Linked DNA regions of Callithrix jacchus. The protein of the gene in region 1 interacts with the protein of each later gene in a pairwise test. Links are inferred from orthologs where the notes say so. Each region holds a gene or a part of one and is shown in the gene's direction. Other genes may lie near its edges. The genes, in order: SDCBP, COX4I1, KLHL2, RNH1, CUTC, PTS and LDOC1.

The links.
Region 2: the proteins of SDCBP (region 1) and COX4I1 interact in binary tests that used the Homo sapiens proteins (3 or more experiments, as listed by UniProt). The two-hybrid records come from large-scale screens. The link is inferred for Callithrix jacchus from reciprocal best matches to the Homo sapiens genes SDCBP and COX4I1.
Region 3: the proteins of SDCBP (region 1) and KLHL2 interact in binary tests that used the Homo sapiens proteins (3 or more experiments, as listed by UniProt). The link is inferred for Callithrix jacchus from reciprocal best matches to the Homo sapiens genes SDCBP and KLHL2.
Region 4: the proteins of SDCBP (region 1) and RNH1 interact in binary tests that used the Homo sapiens proteins (3 or more experiments, as listed by UniProt). The link is inferred for Callithrix jacchus from reciprocal best matches to the Homo sapiens genes SDCBP and RNH1.
Region 5: the proteins of SDCBP (region 1) and CUTC interact in binary tests that used the Homo sapiens proteins (3 or more experiments, as listed by UniProt). The two-hybrid records come from large-scale screens. The link is inferred for Callithrix jacchus from reciprocal best matches to the Homo sapiens genes SDCBP and CUTC.
Region 6: the proteins of SDCBP (region 1) and PTS interact in binary tests that used the Homo sapiens proteins (3 or more experiments, as listed by UniProt). The two-hybrid records come from large-scale screens. The link is inferred for Callithrix jacchus from reciprocal best matches to the Homo sapiens genes SDCBP and PTS.
Region 7: the proteins of SDCBP (region 1) and LDOC1 interact in binary tests that used the Homo sapiens proteins (3 or more experiments, as listed by UniProt). The two-hybrid records come from large-scale screens. The link is inferred for Callithrix jacchus from reciprocal best matches to the Homo sapiens genes SDCBP and LDOC1.

What each region holds. Positions count from the first base shown.
Region 1 is NC_133517.1:14,796,779-14,800,845, forward strand, and holds the start of SDCBP (syntenin-1), read left to right. Parts: upstream 1-1,267; 5' UTR 1,268-1,294; exon of another isoform or gene 1,295-1,313; intron 1,314-4,067. UniProt on the Homo sapiens protein: Multifunctional adapter protein involved in diverse array of functions including trafficking of transmembrane proteins, neuro and immunomodulation, exosome biogenesis, and tumorigenesis.
Region 2 is NC_133521.1:43,481,769-43,484,059, forward strand, and holds part of COX4I1 (cytochrome c oxidase subunit 4 isoform 1, mitochondrial), read left to right. Parts: intron 1-2,083; coding exon 2,084-2,251; intron 2,252-2,291. UniProt on the Homo sapiens protein: Component of the cytochrome c oxidase, the last enzyme in the mitochondrial electron transport chain which drives oxidative phosphorylation.
Region 3 is NC_133504.1:29,785,234-29,788,733, reverse strand, and holds part of KLHL2 (kelch-like protein 2), read left to right. Parts: intron 1-1,791; coding exon 1,792-1,935; intron 1,936-3,500. UniProt on the Homo sapiens protein: Substrate-specific adapter of a BCR (BTB-CUL3-RBX1) E3 ubiquitin ligase complex that mediates the ubiquitination of target proteins, such as NPTXR, WNK1, WNK3 and WNK4, leading most often to their proteasomal degradation.
Region 4 is NC_133511.1:131,400,104-131,404,056, forward strand, and holds the end of RNH1 (ribonuclease inhibitor), read left to right. Parts: intron 1-11; coding exon 12-182; intron 183-2,931; coding exon 2,932-3,102; intron 3,103-3,192; coding exon 3,193-3,280; 3' UTR 3,281-3,453; downstream 3,454-3,953. UniProt on the Homo sapiens protein: Ribonuclease inhibitor which inhibits RNASE1, RNASE2 and angiogenin (ANG). May play a role in redox homeostasis. Required to inhibit the cytotoxic tRNA ribonuclease activity of ANG in the cytoplasm in absence of stress.
Region 5 is NC_133513.1:92,693,469-92,696,968, forward strand, and holds part of CUTC (copper homeostasis protein cutC homolog), read left to right. Parts: intron 1-2,180; coding exon 2,181-2,314; intron 2,315-3,500. UniProt on the Homo sapiens protein: May play a role in copper homeostasis. Can bind one Cu(1+) per subunit.
Region 6 is NC_133511.1:11,916,334-11,920,378, forward strand, and holds the start of PTS (6-pyruvoyl tetrahydrobiopterin synthase), read left to right. Parts: upstream 1-1,245; 5' UTR 1,246-1,317; coding exon 1,318-1,400; intron 1,401-3,765; coding exon 3,766-3,845; intron 3,846-4,045. UniProt on the Homo sapiens protein: Involved in the biosynthesis of tetrahydrobiopterin, an essential cofactor of aromatic amino acid hydroxylases. Catalyzes the transformation of 7,8-dihydroneopterin triphosphate into 6-pyruvoyl tetrahydropterin.
Region 7 is NC_133524.1:138,057,695-138,061,019, forward strand, and holds LDOC1 (protein LDOC1), read left to right. Parts: upstream 1-1,420; 5' UTR 1,421-1,550; coding exon 1,551-1,988; 3' UTR 1,989-2,825; downstream 2,826-3,325. UniProt on the Homo sapiens protein: May have an important role in the development and/or progression of some cancers.

The sequences.
Region 1 (4,067 bases):
AAAAAATCCAAAATTGGAAACATTTCTGGTCCCAAGCATTTTGGCTTAGGATCAGCTTGTTTTAAACTTGTTCATGAAAATTTACTGTAATTGCTTTTCATTCTATTTTTTAGGGGAGGGGTGTCAATTTTCCTGGATTTTCTATGTTAGATAACCATCTCATCTGAAAACAAAAAGTTTTATTTTCTCATTCCCAATCTACCTTGTGATTATTTTTAAACGTCCATTTTCATCAGCCTAACTACATATAACCTTACTGAGAGCAAAGTTTTCTTTTTTTATTTTTAATTTTTTATTGCATTTTAGGTTTTGGGGTACATGTGAAAGTTTTCATCTTTAGTTGTCACCTCTTTTACCCTCAGATTTTTTTTATTAGTTTTGCCAGATATGATTGTGGCACTAATTTAGCTATAAACTGCTTGTAAATGCTATTTTGTCAAGCACTCTACAGTATTCCACGGTAACTATGATTATTCTTGGGTAAACTGTGCCTCAGTCTGTCTGTAATGCGATGTTGTATTTATTTTATAGACTGATGTGAAGACCAAATAAGACTATACACTAAGTTCGTAGAGCTATGGCTGGCACATCATCAGCCCTCAAGAAATCATCGTTATGTTTTTGTATTAGGAAACAGTAATTACTTTTGCGCAGCACCACACAGAACTCTCAACAGCGAAGGAATATCAGCTCAGGCGGACAAAGATTAGTAACTTCCCCTTCGACCCCCCACATTTCAAACAGAAAAATAAGGCAGGAGTTGAGAAGGGGTAGTGAGTGAGAGGAACATTTGTGAGCCTATGGTGGAGAGGTACAGCAAGAGGAGAGTGAGGTTAGGACAGCAGTGGTGGAAGTCGAAGGCATCCCAAGAGGGAGCATGGGCTCCCGAGACCTGTTTGAATTGTAGGCGACCAGAACCAAGCGACCGTGAGCTGCTATACACACGGTAGTGAGTGGGTGGAAAGGGGCCAGCGGGCACGAACTGCCAGAAGAGCGGAGAAGACGCGGAGCATAACCGCGGGGCAGCGGCCAGTTGGCACAGCGGGCCACCTGCACGGCCCTACATTGCCAGATACCGGTAGCTGCAGGAACTACCCACGCCCAGGTCCCTTTACTCCCGCCGCCCGGTTACCTAGGGAACCGGATCACCTGACCCGGGGCCGTGCGCCTGCGCGGGCGGAAGGCGGGGGCGGTGCCGTGACGCGCCTCGGGGGCGGTCCTCCGGCTCTCGCCGCTCTGCTACCCTTGGGCCTCAGAAGTCCGTGCCAGTGACCGGAGGAGGCGGCGGCCGTGAGTGAGTCCTTGTGGGCTAGGTGAGAGGCCGAAAGGGGGCAAGAGGGACGCCGGTGCCGGGTCCCGGGCGCGGGGACGTGGGGCAGAGGCGTGATGGTCCCCGGGCCTTTTAACCGAGAGCGTCCTGGTCGCAGCCGTTTTCGGGAGGCGGCGGCGACGCCCTCTCCTCAGGGGCTCCGCGCCCCTCCCTGCGCCGTGCTGGCTGCGGGGCAAATTTGCGGGAGCAGCGCGCTCTGCTCCCCGGGACCCCGCGGGTTTCGAGCTCCTCTCCGGGCTGGGGCTGGGGCTGGGGTGGGTAGAGCCCCGAGGCACGGCCGGGTGAACGCCGGCAACCGCGGCCCCAGCTCTGGGATTCTTCCTGGGACCGTCTCTCGATCCTCGTTGTTCTCGCTCGCTAAGATCTCGAGACAAGTAAAGAAAGAGCCTCTGGCCGCGGTTTCTCCCCGCGTTTCTTGGGCTGCGCTTCCTTTTGGGTTATTTGGAACGTCCTGTCTCCCCGCGTTTCTTGGGCTGTGCTTCCTTTTGGGTTATTAGGAACGTCCTGGATTTGAAAGCAGGAAGGAGGTGTTTAGTGGGCGAAACCTTGACTTGTTTGGAAGCGGGTGGGGAGAGGTTGTTCGCCCTGAGCTTTTTCCTGGTGCTGTTGGACCTGAAGGAGAAACGTTTCCCGCAGAGTATGTTTAGAAGGAAATACTCCTGAGATCTGATGACTCACAGCTTTCCTTTCAGGATTTCCTTGTAATGATGGGAAAGGGAAGGCATATGGATGCGGAAAGTTTTTACTTTGATCAAAGTGGGATTATTGAGTCATGGAGGCTTCGAATGTGCACATTTTTGAAAGGAGTTTCTAGGATCATCTATTCTATATAACCGCATACACATTTACGGTTATTTTTTCCATTACGTACTTTCCTTAGAAAGTACACTCGGTTTACCGAGCTCTAACATCCGCTTGTTTAGTCTCTCCATTATAAACGAAATTGAACTTCAGAGACATTTTTAGTTTTGGGCATTATAGGAAAAGATGTAAAAGTCATAAAAGGGGAAGAATTTGCTAATGGTTGCCAGTTAAATGTACTGTTTAATTAAACAGTTTCTTAAAATGTGCGTGGCACAACTATTTTCCCTGTTGCCAGATTTGGGTCCTTTTTATAGGTATTAAATGCCAAGAGATTATAAAAAAGGAAAGCTCCCCAAACAACTTTAAAATACTTTCTACACTTAGTAATAGTTACGTTCACATTGATTAATTTTCTTTCAAGTGCTGCCAACATCTTTTGTAAATATTGTCTTCGAGTAGGTAAACGGTCACGTGTCTCAAAATTTAAGCAGCATACAAAGGTATATAGTATGAAGTCTCCTTCCTTTTGGCAGGCAGCCAACTGTTTTAAATTTCTTGGGTATTCATCCGGGAATATCCTATCTACACAGGCAAACATACAAACTGCATCTGTCTCCTTTCTTTTAACATAAACGTTAACATTTTATATACTGCTCCACATTTTGCTCTTATTTTTCCAGTTATTGATAATATTTTGGAACTTTCTAATATCAGCATATATAGCTTTCAGGTCTTTGGCTGTTACAGTCAGTGCTGCAGTGAATGAACTTTTACATATGTTGCTTCCTTTGTGCACATGTGTTTGTACAGTTCAGGTCTTGAAATGATACTGCAGAGTTGAAGGGTATTTGAATTTAGAATTTTAGTAAGCTACTGCAAACTCATTCTCCATGGGAATTGTACTAGTTTACGCTCCCACTAGTAGTGTATGAGTGTTTCTCAAAGCCTTGCTGTCGGAGAGTATTGTCAAACTTTGGATTTTTGCCAGTTCAGTAGCTGAGAAATGGAATCCTAGGGGTAAGAATTAATTATTCTACTTAGAGTGGACTTTATATGGACATACTTCTTAATGCCTGATCTTCAGAAACTCCCAGGATATTTATTAAAAAGCAGAGTACCTAAGTCCTTCCATGAAATTTGTATCTGTTCAGGAAGCTGAGGTTTTTTGTTTTTTGTTTTTTGTTTTTTTTGAGAGGAGTCTTGCTCCGTTGCCAGGTTGGAGTGCAGTGGCGCAATCTCGGCTCACTGTAACCTCCGTCTCCTGGGTTCAAGCGATTCTTCCGCCTCAGCCTCCCGAGTAGCTGGGACCACAGATGCATGCCACCACGCCCGGCTAATTTTTTTGTATTTTTAGTAGAGACAGGGTTTCACGATGGCCAGGATGGGCTCGATCTCTTGACCTTGTGATCCGCCTGCCTCAGCCTTCGAAGTGCTGGGATTACAGGCGTGAGCCACCGCTCCCGGCCCAGGAAGCTGTTTTTATAATAACTAGAGCCTCTGGTAATTTGGCTCTGATGAATAGCCATATTGAGAACATTGCTCTGGAAGGCTGCTTAGGATATATAAAATTGTGTTTCTAGACTCCATGTATGAGCTATCTGGAATGCTTACCATCTGGGGGACATGTTATTTTTTCATTTTTTTACTTTTTATTTTTTTTGAGATGGAATTTTGCTGTGTTGCTCAGGCTGGTCTCAAACTCCTGGGTTAAAGCAATCCTCCTACCTCGGCCTCCCAAAGTGCTAGGATTACAGGCATGAGCCATGGTTCCTGGCCTGATACTTTATTTTTATTTTTTACATTTTTCATTCATTTTATGAATAGTTCGCATAAGTGAAAATAAAGAGATAATGCAACACAACTTTACTAGAAATTTTAATAACTGCTTCAACAAAAGAAACACAAATTAGTATTCCAGATTTTCCTGGTTTTG
Region 2 (2,291 bases), on another chromosome or scaffold:
TTGCAGGCTCTTAGACAAGTCTTGCCTATTAAATTTTAACTTATGTGAATCATTCATGAATAATACATGAATCTGTTCTCAGCAGAAGATATTACAGCCGTCTGGAATACCATCAGCCATCACTGAAGTCCGCTGGGATATTTGCATGGCGACACATTTGAGCGAGGGGCGCCCAGATGTACCAGACCTCCCCAGGGGAGGCTCAGCAGAAACCCATCCATGTGGAAGCAGTGACAGACATTCATTAGAATCTGGAGTCTTGTTTTTCTCTATTTTTAAAAAAATGTTTGGTAAAGTAACCATTGCCTTCCCTTCATTCCTTGGGGGACCAGGCCTGAAGCTCTGAAGAACCCCTGAAACCAGGAATTGGCTATTCTTATTCTGGAAGATGCAATTTTAAGGTTTGCCTGCTTCAAGGTTTTGAGGGTTTACATCATTACAACATTTCTCCCCTCAGTCTTCCTGTCATGTCATTTACGACAGCTTTACGAGATGCAATTCATGTAACAGTCGCCCATTTTTAAAGTGTAGGCTTCAGTGGTTTTCAGTATATTCATTGAGTTTTGTCATTAGTACCACAATGAATGTTTGATTCTAGAACATTTTCATCACCCATATTTACATCTATTTTGAATAACTCGTGTAACTGAGTGTTTTAAATTTTAGAAACTTTTGGAGGGTGCTAAACTTGATAAAAATATTCGGTATACAACTGCTCTTTTTAGTTCACACATCACCTCATCGAATCAGGGCTTTAAAATTAGAAAGTAATCCGGCCATTTCCACCTCATGTCCCTTAAATCCCACCTCATTTTTGGGACGAGGTCAGGTATAAGTTTGAAAGTATCCTAGTCATTTTCATGGCTAAGATAAACATCTAGAGAACTCTATGTGTGACTTTGCTTGAAGCTTAACGTGATTTACTAAGAAGAAGATTTGGGAGATGGGAATCACTGGGACTGAGCTAATGGAGGGGAAGCATTGTCGCAGGGCATAAGGCCTCCAGATCAGTATCTAACAGTTCTTGCAGGTAGGTGTGGGACAGAATTGAGAAACAGCTTTTAACAGGGGAAGACTCACTACAAGCAAGATACTCCTTAGCTGTCTGATTTCTGGACTTCTTTCCTCGTGATACCGGCTGGTTGGAAGGCACTAAAATCACAGGCAGATAGAGCAGAAATCCTCGCGAGGTTCTCCCAGCCTCCCGTGTGTGGCGGCTTGAAGCTTGCTTTGTCAGAGTGTGAGTGGATTATGTGTATGTGAGTATGTGTGCATGACTTCCATAAGGAGGCACACAGCATTGTCCTTGTTCTGTGGCTGAGTGCACTCTGCCGTCGCATTCGGGCTCTAGGTCTGCCCGGTCCTGTGGACCTTGCCTCTTGGTTCCTGCCATCCACACATTGCCAGTGCCCTCCTGCTCTCTTCTTTCTCCAGAGTACTTTTGTCTAAACATGTGATTTGCACATTATGTTTATTGTTTGTTTGCCACTCTTAGAATGTTAAGTGCCACTGGGCAGGAATGTTTGATTTGATTTGTTCACAGATGAACCCAGATACCTAGAGCCCTGCCTTGCCTGTAGAGGGTGCTTGGTAAACACTCTCTGAACGAGTGGCTCCATGGTCCTCGTTTCACAGAGCTGGCACGATTTCTTCCTCAGTCCTGGTTGGACACAGGTTTTTCCTGAACAGTGCCTTTGTTTCTGAACGGGAAGCGCTTTGGGTGTTGCACTGTTCCTGTTCTTCCTTGTGGTTTGAGTCCCTTGCAGCTGGGCCTCATTTTGACCAGTCTCCTGTTCAGGGCAGGGGATAACTGTTAACATAGGAAGAGCTGCCCCCGGCCACCTTGGCCCCAGGGTTCAGTAGCAGTTGCCCCCGGTGGGTTTTTGTTTGCAGTGATGAAAAGTGCTTCTGTTCACCCTCCAGCACAGTCCTGCACCTGTTTCAAACAGTGGCTGTGACCCCCTGAGATGACTGAGGGTTTCAAGGTGTGCACACGTGTGTTTGTTTTGGTTTTCAGAAGTATCACCTTGTTTGTGACTCTCAATTTACATGGATTCAAAGATTTATCCAATGTGTTTTTCAGGAAGTGTTGTGAAGAGCGAAGACTATGCACTCCCAAGTTACATGGATCGGCGTGACTATCCCTTGCCCGATGTGGCCCATGTCAGGCACCTGTCGGCCAGCCAGAAGGCCTTGAAGGAGAAGGAGAAGGCCTCCTGGAGCAGCCTCTCTGTGGATGAGAAAGTCGAGTGTGGGTATTGAAGGGACCCACAGGCGAGCCCAGCAGCTCC
Region 3 (3,500 bases), on another chromosome or scaffold:
CAGGAAAGTGCATTCTTTTGGCAAAGTGATTTGGCTCTGATTGCCTAAAAGTAATCTAGTGTTGTGAGTTAGTGGATTAATAAAATTGATGTCTTTTGAATGTATAGCTAATATATTGAAATGGATGTATGGACCAACCTCTCTTTCTGCAGTAGGATGCTCTTTAATCTGTGAGCCCCTTGTAGATATGATTGAGAAAGCTCTTTAGGACAATATAGCCTTCTTATTCATGCCTTCTATCATAGCAGGGCCATTTTTGAGATCATTTTGTCTCCCACAGTCCTGTGTTATCCATCAATAGGCTGGAATAGAGTGTTGCAAATACATATAACTACTGTGAGAGCTTGTGTGGCAGTAGCATTTGGCTCTTGCTTTTAAGTATTTGAACAACTTTAAAATGGTATGAGTTTTTTTCCTACAAAGTTTTGTAGATTTGGGCAGCATTTTTCTGGATTCTTTGATGCCCTCTAGTACAAGTTTATAGTAGCACTGAACTTTTTATAAGATACTAAATATACTTTAAAAAATTGAAATAAAGAGCTTTTTAAAAGCATTTACCATTTGACTTAGTAGTTTTCTTTCTAATCATTTATATTAAGAGAAATTGCTCAACTATTTAACACACTATTCAGGGGATCTTTGTTCATTGCAACATCATTGGTAACAGCAAAAAAAATCAAAATTACTTAAATATTAGTAAAAAATGATTAAATAAACTGGTATTATCATACATAAAAATTACATTTATATTTATTAACTTGAGGAAATGTCCAGGGTATGTTGGTTGGCCAGGGAGGGTAAGTAATAAAGTAGCATGTGTCGGGTGAGCTACTTTGGGGTTAAAAAAGGCAGTATCTGAGTATATATGCATCGAGAAAAGTTAGCCAGAGTAGAGATCAAAATTTTAATGGTCATTATTCTAAGTGACATAAGATTAGAGGTCACCTTTTTTTCTTTATACCTTTCTAGATGTTTTGAATTTTTGCAAAGAAAAGAGTTAATCTAATAGATAAATAATATTATTTTTCCCTTTTAAAGAGAGAGAAAATAGCTAACCATTCAGTATAATAATTAAAATTAAGAATATTTTTACCTTTTACTAACATATGTTTTCTTCCTTGATATTCCCTAAGTAGTTGACTTTGGGAGTGTTACTAAACTTCTTTGACATTTTTTTTTTTGTTTTTAAATAAAATGAGGGTCAAATAGTTTCTAACCTATAATGTTGTGAAAATTGAATAGAATAATGCATATATAATGCAACTGCTGCATAAATGACACTCAGTAGAAACTTAGAAGTGGTATTAGAGTTTCCTAGTATAAAAGGAATTCTTTCTTTCTTATTTTTGAGATGGAGTCTCACTCTGTTACCCAGACTGGAGAGCAGTGGTGCGATCTTGGCTCACTGCAGCCTCTGCCTCCTGGGTTCAAATGACTCTGCCTCAGACTCTGGAGTAGCTGGAACTACAGTCACGTTCCACCGTGCCCAGCTAATTTTTGTTTTTTTTAGTAGAGATGGGGTTTCACCAGGTTGGCAAGGCTGGTCTGGAACTCCTGACCTCAAGTGATCTGCCCACCTCATCCTCCAACAGTACCAGGATTATAGGCGTGAACTACGGTGCCTGGCTATCATAATATAAAAAGGATTCTTTACATGTTCACTATTTTCTCTTCTTGCCTCCTTTCAAAGAAATTAGTGTCTCTGGATTATCTCACTAAACATGTACAGTGATACTCATATTCATCCAAATTTTTTAAATAATCATTTTCTCTCTGTATAATTTTTTAAAGGAGTTTGTGCAGTTAATGGTCTGTTATATGTTGTTGGAGGGGATGATGGTTCCTGTAACTTGGCTTCAGTAGAGTATTATAACCCAACAACCGATAAATGGACAGTTGTGTCATCGTGTATGAGCACAGGGAGAAGTTATGCAGGTAACGATTGTCTCTAAAGTCCATTACAATAGAAAAATATGACATCATTATAATTTTGATATTAATAAAGTTTTTCTATTATAAGAATAATGCTTTTTCTCAAGGTATAGTTTATATCTTATTCTTAAGATGATTAGCATTGGCTGTGTATATTCTGAAATAAAGCACCAGTACACTTTGGTCATTCTGTAGTCATTTGTATTCAAAATCCCAAATCTTTGATATGCAAAATCATATAATAAAATTTAATGTCGCTAAAGTCAGTATGCCAAGGAGAGGAATTCACTATGTGACAAGGCTTTAATTCCTGAGATGTCCAAGAAATAGGATAGGGTTCCTACATCTCCCCACGGTGAGGCTTCATCAGATAGTATTATAGTGAGGCTGTGGAATAATTTTTCTTTCTTAAGCATAATACTGGTTGAATTATAAAATGTTATTTTTTGGTCCAATATATTCTTATGGTGCATCTTTAAACTGTGTTATATATTATTTATTTCAGTGATATTTATCTTGCTTTTAATTTTATAATATTTCTATAACAAAATTGATCCAATAGTGAAGGAAAAGAATGTATAATTTAACTATCACTGTTGCTTATGTATCATTCAAAACAGCACTTAGTAGAAGAACTATGTACAGTAGAATCCCAGTAACATGGCTGAATATTAGATGAATTTTAAAACAACTTAATTGAGGTATAAACTGGCAGAATACATAGCATACAGTTGACCCTTGGACAACACAGGTTTGAACTGTGTATGTCCACTTATATGCAAATGTTTTTCAGTAATTATGTTGGAAAATTTTTATAAAACTCAGATGAACTGCATAACCTAGAAATATTGAAAAAATTAAGTAAAAGATATGAACACATAAAATATATGTAGATATTAGTCTGTTTTATCATTTACTACTACAAAATATCCACAAATCTATTACAAAAAGCTAAAACTTATCAAAATGTATGCACACAAACTCTTACAGGAACAAACACATACAGACCATGTATGGTGTCATTCACAGTCCAGAGAATTGTGAACAAACCACAGAGATACAATATTAAATCATAACTGCATGAAATTAGCTGTTGTATGTTACTGTACTACTATAATAATTGTACAGCCATTTTCTGTTGCTGTATTAGTGAGCTTAGCTGTTGTGAGTAGCCACTTAAAAAGCTGTGGGGCAGTAATCATCTTTGAAAGAGCAATTTGTCTCTTTAGCGATGTGTATCTGTAGAAAGTGATCTCTCATGGTTCTGCCTTATTTTTAATCATGTTTATTGCAATATCATAAACCTTGAATAACACCACGGGACCCATACAGAGTGCCACTGATGATGCTGGGAAGTGCTTCAACGAAGCAGAGAAGAGTCATGACATTATAAGAAAAAGCTGAATTGCTTGAGATATACCATGGATTGAGGTCTACTGCTACACTTGCCCACCATTTCAAAATAAATGAATCCAGGGTAGGGATCATTGTAAAAAGGAAAAGGAAAACTCAAGAAGCCATTGCTGCAGCCATCCCAGCAATTTTGAAAACGTCGCACATTTTATGAA
Region 4 (3,953 bases), on another chromosome or scaffold:
CGTGTCCACAGGGTGAAGTACTGCGGCTTGACAGCTGCCTGCTGCTCCCACTTCAGTTCAGTGTTGGCCCAGAATAAATTTCTTCTGGAGCTGCAGATAAGTGAAAACAGGCTGGGAGATGCAGGTGTGCAGGAGCTGTGCCAGGGCTTGGGCCAGCCTGGCTCTGTGATGCGGTCACTCTGGTGAGTGTGTGAGGGACATGAATATGCATATTTGGGAGGTCGTGTGTGTGTGTGTGTGTGTGTGTGTGTGTGTGAGAGCACGAGCATCCATGTGAGAACACGTTTGTAAGAACCTGGGTGTTCATGTGCTGGGGAAGGCAGCATGGCGGCACCATTCTGGCTTCTTGCAACTTTGATCAGAGTCAGAGACAGAGGTCTTGGTTCATGAAGCCTAATAGCTTTTGGGGCTCCAGCGTGCCCTGGCCACCCTGTGGTCCATTTTCCTGGAAGTCCCGCCCACCTTCCTGCCATGCAGGAACCCAGGGTCAGGATGTCTTCCCAGGTTTCCTCCCTTTGTTAAAGCACGTTGTCTTGCAGCTTCCTAAGAACAGGTTCTGCAGAAGGTAATTATTGGAGGCCTGCATCTGCTCTGCCCTTGGGTCATTCAGCTGGGTATAGAATTCTGGGTTACAAATTCAGCTGGGTATAGAATTCTGGGCTACAGATGTTCCTGTAGAATTGGTAGGTGATGCTACATCATTTTCTGGCTTCCAGAGAGGACTTTGCTGTTCTGATTTTTTTTTTTTTTTTTTTGAGATGGAGTCTTGTCACCCAGGCTGGAGTGTAGTGGCGTGATCTCTGCTCATAGCAACCTCTGCTTCCCGGGCTCAAGCCTCCCGAGTAGCTGGGATGACAGGGGTGCATCACCATGCCTGAATAATGGGGCTTTCACCATGTTGCTCAGGCTGGTCTCAAATTTCTGACCTCAGGTGATCCACCTGCCTTGGCCTCCCAAAGTGCTAGGATGCCAGGTGTGAGCCATCATGATCTTGTGTGCACGATGTGCTTTTTCTCATTGGCAGCTTTTAAAGATGTCTTTGCCCATTGTGTTTGGGGTTCCATGTGCTTTGCCTTGATGTGTGTCTTGGTTCTTTTATTGTGCTGGATACTTGGCTGTCCTAAGTATCACGCCTTTGGTGATTTTTCCTCTCATTTTTTTTTTGAGAGTTTCACTCTTGTTGCTCAGGCTGGAGTGCAGTGGTGCGATCTCACTGCAACCTCCGCCTGGGTTTAAGCAACTTTCCTTCCTCAGCCTCCCAGCTGATTTTCGTATTTTTAGTAGAAATGGGGTTTCACCATATTGCTCAGGCTGGTCTCGAACTCCCGACCTCAGGTGATCCACCCGCCTCGGCCCCCAAAGTGCAGGGATTACAGGTGTGAGCCACCATGCCCCGGTGTGCCCGTGAGGTCTCCTGGACTGGCCCGCTAATTGTGTTCTCCAAATGTTCTGTCTCTTCGAGGTTTTGTTCTTATTTCTGGGAGATGTTCTTGTTCCTCAACCAGTCTACTGAATTTCCACCATCAGTGTTTTGTCTTTTGTGTGCTGCTTCACCTGTGCCTCTCGCCAGGGGCTTTCCATGGGTGGCCGGGCACCAAGTGCAGAGTGAGGCCCGGGAGCCCTGGGCAGCGGGCTGGGCAGGCGAGTCGTGGCTGTGTTTCCTGGGGCGGGGGGGGGGGGGCTCTCAGGACGCCATCCTGGCTGCCAGGACCCTGTGGGCCTTCCAGGTGGGGCATGGAACCCTGGGTCCTGGTCACTGCAGGCCTGTCTGCCTGAGCCACTGCCAGGGTGGGGGTCCTGCAGCTTCCCTGGCTCCCACTTTGTAGAGGCCCAGCACAGCTCCTTGGCCTGGCTCCGGCCGGATGCGGCTGCACCCTGGGGAGTGAGTGCTGGGTTTTCTCCACTGTCTTTTGTCTGGCCTGTACCCTAGTCTCTCTCGGGAGCCTGAAGTCTGTTGTCCACTGTGCCTTCCTCAGAACCCTCCACACCCTCGTTTCCCCACAGCTGCCCCTCGGTCTCCGTGGCTGGCTTCTCCTCTTAGCCCCACTTGGCCAGGCAGTGTTGAGGAGGTGGGGAGCGGGGGGTGGACGTGGCTCTGTGGGTGGACATTGTCTTCCTCTGGTCCTTTCTGCCCCTCGTGGGAGGAGAGAGTTGCTCAGGGAGTCAGTCTGCTGTGCCCTGCCAAGGGGCTGCGTGCTGGCCTTGTCTGTGGTGGGCACCTGCCCAGGGCCACAGAGGGTTACCGCCACCTGCTGGCAGCTTCCAGTGGGTTCTATGGGAAGATGCTTTTCGAGCAGCACAGTAGCAAGAGCTGATAGAGTTCACAGTCACCAAGGTGGAGTGCCGGTCTGAGGGCGGCCTTCCCCAAGAACTGGAGCAAGGTCCTACAACGCCTTTACCAGGAGCAGTGGCTCTCGCCCCAAGCCTGCCACACAGCGGGTATCTTTGCGATACTGAACGCTGCCGCCTGGGCCATGGGTTCTTGTCCTGGCATAACTGTTTTCCCTTAAATCATGCTCTGCGCCATATCTGCTCTAGGCATTCCTCCGATTATGAGCTGCTTATTCCTTAATTCATGCTCTGTACTGTGTCCACTCCAGGCATTCCTCTGACCATGAACTAAGATATAATTATATATATATATATATATATATATATATGTAGGGAAATATTCTTTAGGCACTCCTCATACTATCAACTATTATATGATTACATATAGGGGATTATATCAAGGGATTCTTCAAGCCCTAATTCTATAAACTAATATATGATTATGTAAAGGATTATATAAAAGGAAATAGCTGAGTAGTGACACTGTACAGTGAGATATTCCTCAAGCCCTAACTGTGCCAGGGTTCTGCTTAGCTCTCATTCCTCGGGGCCTATATGGGGGGTTACCCACACACCTGACCCCCACCCTGCTCTACCCAGGCTGGGGGAGTGCGATGTGACTGACGTTGGCTGCCTCAGCCTCGCCAAGACCCTGTTGGCCAACGACAGCCTGCGCGAGCTGGACCTTAGCAACAACTGCATGGGGGACGAAGGCATCCAGATGCTGCTGGAGAGCCTGCGGCAGCCGTCCTGCCACCTGGAGCAGCTGGTGTACGTGCCTGTGCGGGGCGGGGGGCGGGGGTCCGGGGGGCGGGCTGGGTGAGGACACCTGCCTACTCCTCCCTTCTGGCCTGTGTGCAGCCTGTACGACATCTACTGGTCTTTGGAGATGGACCGCCAGCTGCAGGCCCTGGAGAAGGAGAAGTCATCCCTGAGGATCATCTCCTAAGCCGCTTCCTGCCCGCCAGGCTCCTGAGACCCGCTCTCCCTGGACAGCCTGGCCTCGAGGCACCCCTGGGCTCTCACCCTGCGTTTCCTAGATTTGAAGAGAAATGCTCAGATCAGCTTATTTCTGCTAGTGTATTTTGGATACTTTACAATCATTAAAACACTTTCTTGGCAGGAGGGGCTCTTTCTTCCTGGGGTCTCTGCGAGGGTGCTGGTGTCAGGCTCCTGTTCTTCCTGGGGTCTCTGAGGGCGCTGCTATTGGGCTCCTGTCCTTCCTGGGATGTCTGAGGATACTGGTATTGGGTGCACCACGCCACTTGGTATGAGCTTCTCTCTTGACATGTCGCCCAGGCTGGTGCTTGGTCTTGGCCTCCTGAAGTGTGGGCATTACAGGTGTCAGCCATTGGCCTGGCCCAATAAAGCCCTTTTCAGTGACCTGAGGCTGGGCGTGGTGGCTCACGCCTGTGATCCCAGCACTTTGGGAAGTAGGCTGGGGTGGGCAGTTCACTTGAGGTCGGGAGCTTGAGACCAGCTGGGCCAACATGGTGAAACCCCATCTTTACTAAAAATACAAACATTAGCCAGATGTGCTGGCAGGTGCCTGAATCGCTTGAACCTGGGAGGTGGAGGTTACCTCGAGCTGAGATTGCACCACTGCACTCCAGCCAGCTCAA
Region 5 (3,500 bases), on another chromosome or scaffold:
AAAATCAGTTAGTTTTAATTTCTTTTCTTTTCTTTTTTTTTTTTTTGAGATGCAATCTTGCTCTGTTGCCCAGGCTGTAATGCAGTGGCACAATCTTGGTTTACTGCAATCTCCACCTCCTGGGTTCAAGCAGTTCTCTGCCTCAGCTTCTACCCCTGGCTAATTTTTGTATTTTTAGTAGAGACAGAGTTTCACCATCTTAGCCAGGCTGGTCTTGGACTCCTGACCTCATGATCCACCTACTTTGGCCTCCCAAAGTGCTAGGATTACAGGTGTGAGCCACCGCACCCAGCCAAAAAATCAGGTAGTTATAATTTCTATGTCCTTTGGCTACATCTTGGTTAAACAGAAGAACAAATGTCTATTTTGCCTTCAGAGAGTACTGCCATTGCACATGAAAAGAAGTCTACAGTAAAAAAAAAATTTTTACTTCAAATTTCTATTCTTTTCTTTATTCCAATAGGTTTAGCAAAAATATTTTCCTATTTTCAAAATTTGTAGAATTTTTGGGTTCCACATTTTTTTCACTCATGTATTTAATGATGTAGCATAATAATATTGTTATAGTGGTGAGACTGCCACCGAAACAGGTAGATCCTCTGTGGTAGATTTAGTTGCCTACATACACTAAAGGGTGAAATGAAGGGGTCTATCTCAGAGGACCACTACCACCTAATCCACCACAGGTTAGAACTTCTATATCATGTAGCGATGTGAGAACCAAAGCAGAAGGAGGTTTTCTGTTTTCGGTTTCCTGGTACCACTTTACTCTTTGAGGGCTCTGAGGAGGGTAGAAGTCTCTTAGAAAGTAGGATGGAATTGAAACTTCATATAGTTGTTGAAAACAGCTATCCTTATGCTGTGAACCTTGAGTATGTGGGGTTAATAGATTAGTCCAAACTATTAGTCAGTAATGAGAATGTGAGCCAAGGCTTTTTCTAGAACTGCTGAGTACAGTGTTTCATTCTACCTAGTCCAGTTTTTCTGAAGCCTTAGAGCAGTTTCTTAAATTGGACTCACCTGCTTATCACATTTAAAATTTTACCATATATGAGTGCTACCTGTGCACATTTATTTAATGATTTTCTTTAAATAAAATCTTAAGTATGCACCCATAAAAAAGAACAAGATTATGTCCTTTGCAGAGGCATAGATGGAGCTGGAGACCATTATTCTTAGTAAATGAACACAAGAACAGAAAACCAGATACCACATGTTCTGACTTATAAGTGGGAGCTAAAAGGTGAGAACACATGGACACATAGAGGGGGACAACACACACTAGGGCCTTTTAGAGGGTAGAGGGTAGGTAGACAGAGAGGATCAGGAAAAATAACTAATGGGTACTAGGCTTAATACCTGGGTGATGAAATAATCTGTACAACAAACTCCCAAGACATGGGTTTACCTGTATAACAAACCTGCACTTGTATCCCCGAGCTTAAAAAGATGTGAAAAAAAACTTAAGTTATTTTCAATAGAAACTTTCATAACTACTGTAAATTGAAAACGTTTCCTTTCTTATCTGCATTTAAATAAATATACCTCTTTAAATGTGTACCATTATTAAAATCATCGTGCACAGTGGTGGTATGCAGACTGTGGTGTGCTGATAAACTTGCTCTTAGAAAAAAGAGCCCTGATTTGTAGCATTTTAAAATTTCTGTGGTTTAAATACTCTACCTTCACTAATTTTTTAAAATTAATTTCTATTTTTCTTTTGAGACAGGGTCTTGCTGTGTCGTCCAGGCTTGGGTGCAACGGTGCAATCTCAGCTCACTGCAACCTCAAGTCCCTAGGCAGTGATCCTCCCATCTCAGCCTCTCAAGTAGCTGGGACTATAGGTGCACACCACCATGCCTGGCTGATTTTTGTATTGTAGATATGGGATCTTGCCATGTTGCCCAGGCTGGTCTCAAACTCCTGGGCTCAAGTGATCTGCCCACCTCCCAAAGTGCCAGGATTATAGGCATGAGCCACGACACCTGGCCCTACCTTCATTAATTTCAGGCTGCCAGTAGGTTAACAATCTGACTTACAGAATTATTGAGTGTTTAATAATTGGCCTTTGTAAGCCACACAAGCTAGGTCCAGCCTGCCACTGCATGTAAGCTACATTTTGGGAAGCAGTGCATTAAAGGATATCTGTTCGGAATTCACATCAATTTTATTTATTTCAGCCTTTGACATGGTTCATGATCCAATGGCAGCTCTGGAGACCCTCTTAACCTTGGGATTTGAACGAGTGTTGACCAGTGGATGTGACAGTTCAGCATTAGAAGGGCTACCCCTAATAAAGCGACTCATAGAGCAGGTACATGGAATTTCTTTTTTTTCCCCTAAGACTCTGTTGTGGTTACTCCTGACATTCTGTTTAGCCAGTTTGTAATACTATATATTACTGACTTTGTGGTTACTCTGTAGGAAAGAACAAGTAGGCAATAATGTGTATCATTCTTACTTCTTTCACATGAGCCTTTTTAATAATCAAGGCTTTTAATATCAAATTACACATCAATAGTGCCTAGAGATCTGATCTAACTTGGATAAGCAGAGCAGATTTTACCTTTCCTCTCCCATTGGCATTACAGTTACATTTCTTAGTTTAGATACAAAGTCTTGCTATGTTGCCCAGGCTGGTCTTGAACTCTTGGGCTCAAGCCTTCTGCCAATCTTGGCCTCCCAAAGTGCTGAGATTACAGGTATGAGCCACTGCACCCAGCCAGCATTGTAGTTTTAAGCCACATCTTTTCATTATACAGCCCGTGTATATTCAGGGGATCCAATATGAAATTATCATCTGGAGATAAATTCCAAAACTAAAATTATAGTCTTATTTCTTCCTATCTGTCAATAAAAAAGGAAATATATGTTTCTCTTTTATGAGTTCTCCTGGTAAGCTGGCATCATTTGTAGAACACTCAGAGGGTGACTTTATAATTATAGTATGTCTGTGTTTTTCTGACATCAGTCCAGAGGCATTATAAATTAGTGAATATAGGCTTTGAGATAAGAGAGTCATGTGTTTGAGACTCAGGTTTGACACTTGCTATGTGATGTTGAGTTGAGTAGGTTAATCTTTATGCCTCTGTTTCCCCTGTGTGAAACTGAGATAAGTTTAATACTTCTTTTGTAGAGTTTCTCAGAAGATTGCTAGAGATGAGATATGTAAGAGGCTTAGCACAGTGGTTGGTATATAGTAGGTCTTAATAATGTTAGTTTCTATTATTGCTGCTTTTTTTTTTTTTTTTGGATTATCAGGAAGCAAACATACCTTTTAATTATTCTTTCCCATGAAGGTCAAGAAAGAAAACATTACTAGCACCTCTGAAGTCCTGCCTCTTCCATCTTGCAAAACTGTGCCTCCCTAGTCCCCCAAAATAACCACTTTCCTGATTAATACTATCATAGATTAGACTTGCCAGTTTTTGAATTTTATTTAATTTAAATAAAATCATATGTAGTATTTATGTCTAGCTTCCTTGGCTCAATAGCAAACC
Region 6 (4,045 bases), on another chromosome or scaffold:
TCGGCTCACCGCAACTTCCGCCTCCTGGGTTCAGGCAATTCTCCTGCCTCAGCCTCCCGAGTAGCTGGGATTACAGGCACACGCCACCACGCCCAGCTAATTTTTTGTATTTTTAGTAGAAATGGGGTTTCACCATGTTGACCAGGATGGTCTCGATCTCTTGACCTCGTGATCCACCCGCCTCGGTCTCCCAGAGTGCTGGGATTACAGGCATGAGCCACCGCACCCGGCCTCCTTATGGTTTATTGCTTGATTGTGTTCATTTTGGACCCTTGTTACCTTCATTGTAAAATATTAATTTAAGTATTTACACTTGGTAACTTACCTTAACTTACTGAGTGTAACTTAACTTACCATAGCTTACAGGGTGTGACTGCAACTTACTTACCTTGACCTACTGGGCGTAACCTACTTACTGAACTTAACTTACTTACTGGGCGTAACTTGTTTACTGTAACTTAAGTACATTGATCTGGCGTAAACAACTTTTGACTTCAGAAAAGTATATAATGGAACATATTGCAAAAATAAAATTGCTGCTTGGACATAGCCTAAGCAAGCCCTCCAGACTCCGCTTTTCTATTTTCTTTCACTTCCGCGCACTCTCTCCCTCAGGTTGAACGAGACATCTACATTGGCGGTCTCGGGGACTCCTGCAGGTCTGTAGTCCCCCGGCAGACGTGCCGGACCCCAACATATAATGACCACAAAGGACTGTTGCCACGTGGTCCTATTCATGATCTCAAGTCCTGCTCTTTCAAAAAAATTTTTTTAAAAGAAACGAGCGTCTTTCTCTATTGCCCAAGTTGGACTCCTGGGTTGAAGGGATCCCTCCCCTTCCCAACAGCTGGGGCTACAGGAGTGCGCCACCTCGCCCGCCTGGCTCAATTCCCGCTCCTTTTGGTTTATAAAGCGGACTGTGGCCCTGGGGCTCATCCGATAGTCACCAGCCACTGGAGCTTTACAGGAGAGAGTGGGCGGGGAGGCTCAGAGAGGTGGCTCAGGATCCAGTGTGTGCAGACGGGCCCTAACCACGTGGCGTGACCGCAGGCGGAGCAGACAAACAGATCAAAGACACCGAGTCCCCACCCACCGTGACCGCTCCAGGGTAGGCTTAGCTCTCGGAACTCGGTCTCGGAAGAGATTTAAACAGCTAGGGACGCGCGTAACTGTCTCCCGAGGCTGGGATTGGCCCGAGCCAAAGCGGAGCCGCGCTCCCCAGGGGGGCGCCGGCCTGCACTGCGCAGCCGTGGAGGGAGGCGCAGGCCGCGCCGCGGGAGAAGGTGCAGGCCGAGCGGCGTAGAGGGCGCCGGGAAGATGAGCGCGGTGGGTGGCGGCCGTCGTCCCAAGGCGCAGGTGTCCCGCGGCATCTCCTTCAGCGCGAGCCACCGGCTGCACAGGTCGGGTGTGCACGGAGGTGCAGCGGCGGGCGGAGGGCGCCGGGCCTCGGAACGTCACCGGGGCGGGGCCGGGGGCGCGTGACGTCGGACCCGGGGTCGCGGGCGCAGGGGCTTCCGGGCGAAGCAGCTGATGGAGGGCGGCGCTCGCTGGGTGCCTTCGCGGGGCTTTGGGCGGCAGGTCGCATCCCGATGGCGGCTGGGGTGTCCCCAACCCTGGAGGGATCGGGGAGCGTGGTGGTTAACGGAGCCGGCTGCGGAGGGCGATGGACCATTTCTGGCCGCGGGGCCCGCACCAGGCTCTGCGACTCGGAGTTCCTTGGTGTAGACCACAGGGTTGCCGTGAAGCTTACCGGTGTTAAACTCGCCTGTGTCAGTACCCGGAGCTGCGTAGGCACCCAGTAAATGTTAGCTAATTTTGTAAGCCAGGAGCGCTGGCGGCCGTATCTAATGTCATCACAAGGCAAGCTTTAGCCCCTTTTTGCCAAAGATAGAAGGAACCCAGTCCCTGGTGGGAGTGGCTAGGAGAAAAAAAAAATGAACCCAGATGTTCGGTTTCCGAAGCAAGCAGCATAGTTGAACCCCGAGCTTCCATGCCGCTTGCATGCACTGCAGAGTTGGTTTTGAGGAGTTTTACCACTCTGCAGCAAGCGCCCCTCTCTGGCCCTCCATATCGTCGTCTGCAAAATGAGTATAACCATTCCTATCTAACAGGATTCATCCCTCCATTCGCTGAACGAGGGTTTGTTTCGTGCTTGTCAGTGCTTGTGCTAGGTAACGGATGCAGCGGGGATCTTGTTATGGGGTTTACAGCCTGGTCAATTTTGTGGAGGGTACAGTGAGAATTTTGTGCAAAAGACTTAGCCCTCTTTTAAATACAAGAAGTGGCTGGGCAGGAGACAGTGGGGGTGTGTTAATCCATTTTTGCATTGCCATAAAGGAGTACTGAGACTGGGTAATTTATAAAGAAAAGAGGTTTCTTTGGTTCTGCAGGCTGTACAAGAAGCATGGCACCAGCATCTGCTTCTGTTTAGGCCTCTGGGAGCTTCCACTCATGGTGGAAGGAGAAGGGGGTGCAGGCAACTTACAGGGCAAGTGAGGGAGCAAGAGCGAGGAAAGGAGGTGCCAGACTCTTTCTAACAACCAGCTCGCCCATTAACTAATAGAGCGAGAACTCACTCATTACTTCAGGGAGGGCACCAAGCTGTTCATAAGGGATCCACCCCCATGAGCCAAGCACCTCTCACTAGGCCCCACCTCCAGTGTTGGGGATCACATTTCTACATGAGATTTGGAGGGCACAGACATCCAAACTACGTTGGGGGGGAATAATAAAGAGGATCTCAAAAAGAAAGGGGTGGTAACATAAGAAGCTCAAACACCTGAGGGTGGTAGGGCCTCATTGACGATGCAAAATTGATTGGACAGGTGTAGGTATAAACATTCATTAAGTAATTTGTTTTCTGTCTGAGGCAACAATGTTTAGAATTACAGTTGTAATTTTAAAAACTCACCTGCTTTGAATATTCTTCAAGATATTGGTAAAGTTCTCATGAGGCAATCGTTGAGACATAGTAAATCAAGAATGTTCAATCGGAGACTCACCAGGTCTTGTAATTACTTTTTAAATTATTTTTTTCTGAATGAGTAGTTTAGTTTCTGAGAGAAATGAAATAGCCACTTTGTGAATCAGCATCTCTGTTGATCATTATATGCTGTTAGGTCATTCAGCACTTGCCTAGTACATTGTAGGCACTCAGTCAGTAATGTTAAATTGAAAAGTGGAAGGCCCATCAGCAGATCAGTTGCTGTGGGGTTGAAGTTAAGGTTTGTTTGTGCTAATTTGTATGGTACAGTCTTTTTTTTTTTTTTTTGAGACAGAGTCTCGCTCTGTTGCCCAGGCTGGAGTACAGTGGTGCAATCTTGGCTCACTGCAACCTCTGCCTCCCTGGTTCAAGTGATTCTCCTGTCTCAACTCCCAAGTAGGTGGGACTACAGGCAGATGCCACCCTGCCCGGATAATTTTTTATATTTATAGTGGAGATGGGATTTCACAGTGTTAGCCAGGATGGTCTCAATCTCCTGACCTTATGATCTGCTCGCCTCGGCCTCCCAAAGTGCTGGGATTACAGGTGTGAGCTACCGTGCCTGGCTGGTACAGCCTTCTAATTAGGAACTGTGCACTGGTTTCTGACATTTGCATGAGAAATGAAATCAACATATTTCTGACTCCCCATTTGGTGAGCTAAAGTAATAACAAATTGGGAAACTTTTCAAAGATCAGAGCAAATAATATACATAGGGAACAGAGAAGGGGGTTTGAATGTGATGCTTGTGTCATGCTGACTTTTTGTTTTGTTTTGGTTAGTAAGTTTCTAAGTGAGGAAGAAAACTTGAAGCTGTTTGGGAAATGCAGCAATCCAAATGGCCATGGGCACAATTATAAAGGTGAGAGAAAAACTGATGACATTTCAGTCCTTCAGTAAGGATGAAAGAGTATTCAGCAAACACAGTGTGATGCTTTGAGCCTCGAATGAGAATTACATGAGAGTTCAGAATGAAAGGGTCTGTTGTTTTGGGTGGGTGGGTGTTAAATTTTAACTTGCAGTTGTCAACTCTTACAAACAGTTCAAAACTGAATGGTTTAA
Region 7 (3,325 bases), on another chromosome or scaffold:
TATTTGACATGTTGGCCAGTAGCACAGTAAATGTTATGTAGATAAATGAAGCAGAGTCAAGGGTTAGAGATTGGTGGCAGAGAACAGGGTTCTCTGATAGGTCCGGTGGCCAGAAAAGTTCTCTTTGAAAGCAGTAGGTGAAGGAGTCAGGCAGCCAACTGGGACAAGTCTTGCAAGGCAGAAGGGGTAGAAGGTGCAAAGGCTACAAAGCCAGAACTACTTGACGTGTGTGAGAATCAGCAAGGACAGTGATTAGAGCATAGCAGAAAATGGGAAGAGGCATAGGATAGAAGGAAGGGCTTTGTAGACCTTGGCTGCAACTTTGCTCTTTATTCTGAGATGAAACTTGGATGATTTTGAGCAAGGGAGTGAAGGGATCTAATTTTTGTTTTAAATGATTCCCGTGGCTACTTTATGGAGAATATACTATAGGTAGAAAAAAGCGAAAGCTAAGTGATTAGTTGCAGCAGTGTGTGAGAAAGAAAGGCTGGGTGGGGATCAGGGTGGCAGTGGTAGAAATGGCAAGACATGATTGAATTGGCAATATATTTGAAAGCAGAGCCAATAATTCATGATAGCTCTAGGATCAGAGATCCATTTAAAGTAGAAAAAGAAAATTATTTATAAACACTCACATCTTCACAGTTCATTTTTAAGTAGAGAATAATACCCAGTGGCCAATGGCACTAGTAGCAGAACAAGAAATAGAGAATAAAATGTGTGGGATGCCTGCAATTGGTTATCGGATGCTGATTTTGCAGAACTTTTTATATCTTGCTATTTAGGTTTTTTTTTTTTTTAAGGTAGGTATATCATATTATTTCCCAATTAAATAAGTCACTGTTTAAATACTGCCTTTTTCATGAAAGGCAGGACCCCCTGAGGGTCTTCATGACCCTGAAAGGAAGTGTGACTTCCACAGTGCAGCCAGCAGTGTCAATACTTCGCTAAGTGAGATTTAAACAAGAAAGAAAATGTGTTAATAAAACATCGCGCCAAGAGAATTTAGTGGCCACAGACCCACGAAGGAACACTGAGTTGTGCGAGTTGGCTAGGTAGAAGAGTGGTTAATCTTTTCAGCTTGAACAAGTGTACCTTCTCTGAGACCGGATTCAGCGCTCGCCAGGTCCTCTGCTAATTCAGGCCCCACATCCAGGAGCTCTGACAGCCGACCGCAGCCTTTAACTGCCCGCCTAGAGGGCTACGACAAGCCGGTGGTTCAGCAACCCAGCGCATCCTAGTCCTAGCCAAGCCCTGTGTGTCTACACTCTTCCCATCCCGGCCACGCCCCCACGCTTCCGCGGCCCCTCGCCTGGCCACGCCCCTCCCGCGCCGCGCCGGCGCACCGTCCGTCCGAAAGGCCGCGTGGGCGGGGCTTGCGTAGCCTCCCGGACTCCGGCGCGCACCGCACCGCCCCCCCGCCCCCCGCCCCTGGCCCTCGCGCGCCTTGGTGGACAAGCACTTCCTGCGAGGCCTCCGTACGCACCTTGTCCGAGCCGAGCCGCACCGAGCCGCACCGAGCCGAGCCCTGTACTTCCAAGCCGTTCGCCATGGTGGATGAGCTGGTGCTGCTGCTGCATGCGCTCCTGATGCGGCACCGCGCCCTGAGCATCGAGAACAGCCAGCTCATGGAACAGCTGCGGCTGCTGGTGTGCGAGAGGGCCAGCCTGCTGCGCCAGGTACGTCCGCCAAGCTGCCCGGTGCCCTTCCCCGAAACGTTTAATGGCGAGAGTTCCCGGCTCCCCGAGTTTATCGTGCAGACGGCGTCTTACATGCTCGTGAACGAGAACCGATTCTGCAACGACGCCATGAAGGTGGCATTCCTAATCAGCCTCCTCACCGGGGAAGCCGAGGAGTGGGTGGTGCCCTACATCGAGATGGATAGCCCCATCCTAGGTGATTACCGGGCCTTCCTCGATGAGATGAAACAGTGCTTTGGCTGGGATGACGATGAAGACGACGACGACGACGAAGAGGATGATTACTAGGCCTTAGACCCTCAGGCCTAGCGGGGAGGGCCCTGCACGCCGCCACCCCCTCTCTCCAGCCCTCACCCCGCCGGGAGCCACTGTTCTCCGCCTTGCCCTCTGGTCCCCTTCCCTACTCGCGCCCTTCAGTTCTCTCTCTTCGTTTCTCCGTAGTGCTTGTCTTTGTTCCAGGAATAGTGCTCCATTTACCTGCTGCTGGGGTTGGGGCTGAAGCCTCACTCACTCGGAAATGCTTGGAAGTGTCATCTACCCTGGCCAGCCCCTGAATCCCTCCCCTGCTAATCCGAACTGTGTCCTGAGCCCCAGTTATTGGCCATGCCCCCATTATAAATTGGTCATACCACCCATAGCCCTGCTGCTGCCACCTACCCTACTGCCAGGCTTACATCTGCCCAGAGAACTATGCTGCCACTTCACATCCACTCACCACATCCCACCTACATACTACCGCCTTTCGAAGTAAGGACCAACCTGGAAGATGCCAGAGTTGGCTATACCTCTTCGGACATTGATTCGGACAGCTCACCAACCCATGAAGGGGCCAATCATTCAGCCTGGTTAGTTTTCTACCCACTCTGAGGGTCCTCCCATGCCCCACCAGATTGCTGCAGGGGCTTGGTGTGCCTGGCAGCCAAATTGTTGACATTTCTTTTTTCCTATGCATTGGTTTTACACAGCTGTCACTTTACTTTCAAAATTGCAGCAGTCCCCCAGATGTGTGCATTTGGACAAATAATACTAAGAACAAAGCAAGCACTCAGCCCAGCTCCTCAATACTACCTGGAAAAAGCATTGGCATTATTTTCAATAAATATCAAGCACTACAAAAAAAAGAAATGATTGTCTTTTAATGGTTAAGTGCTGTCACTGGCCTCCAACACTGTCACTCTGTCTACCATTATTCCCATGGAAATCAGGGTTCCCCGCTGTCATCTCCAGGCTGTTGGCGACAGCTACCTCAGGGCTCTGTCAGTGTTCTGATGTTCCCTTCACCAATGTATTTCATAAAGCCCTGGCAAAGGGTATGTCCTCTGGTTCCTCCAGAATGGCATGGGTAAGGCTTGGCTGAGCAGATGGCAAAGAGGCAGTATTAATAATTAGACCATAACAACAGTCATAAACCTGGAAGAGGGGGGAGAGAGAGAGAGAGAGATGTAATGCTCCCAATTATCTGAGCTTTCAGATTCCTTAACACTGTACCAGGGAAGTTCTGCCCCTTAATCCTTATTGCCTATGTGTAGCTGCTGAGTTCAGGCTCCAAATAGCCAACATAGTATATTGCTTTTATGTCACTCTCAGATGCTCCAGCTAACATTAAATCCTGGATCCTGGGCACG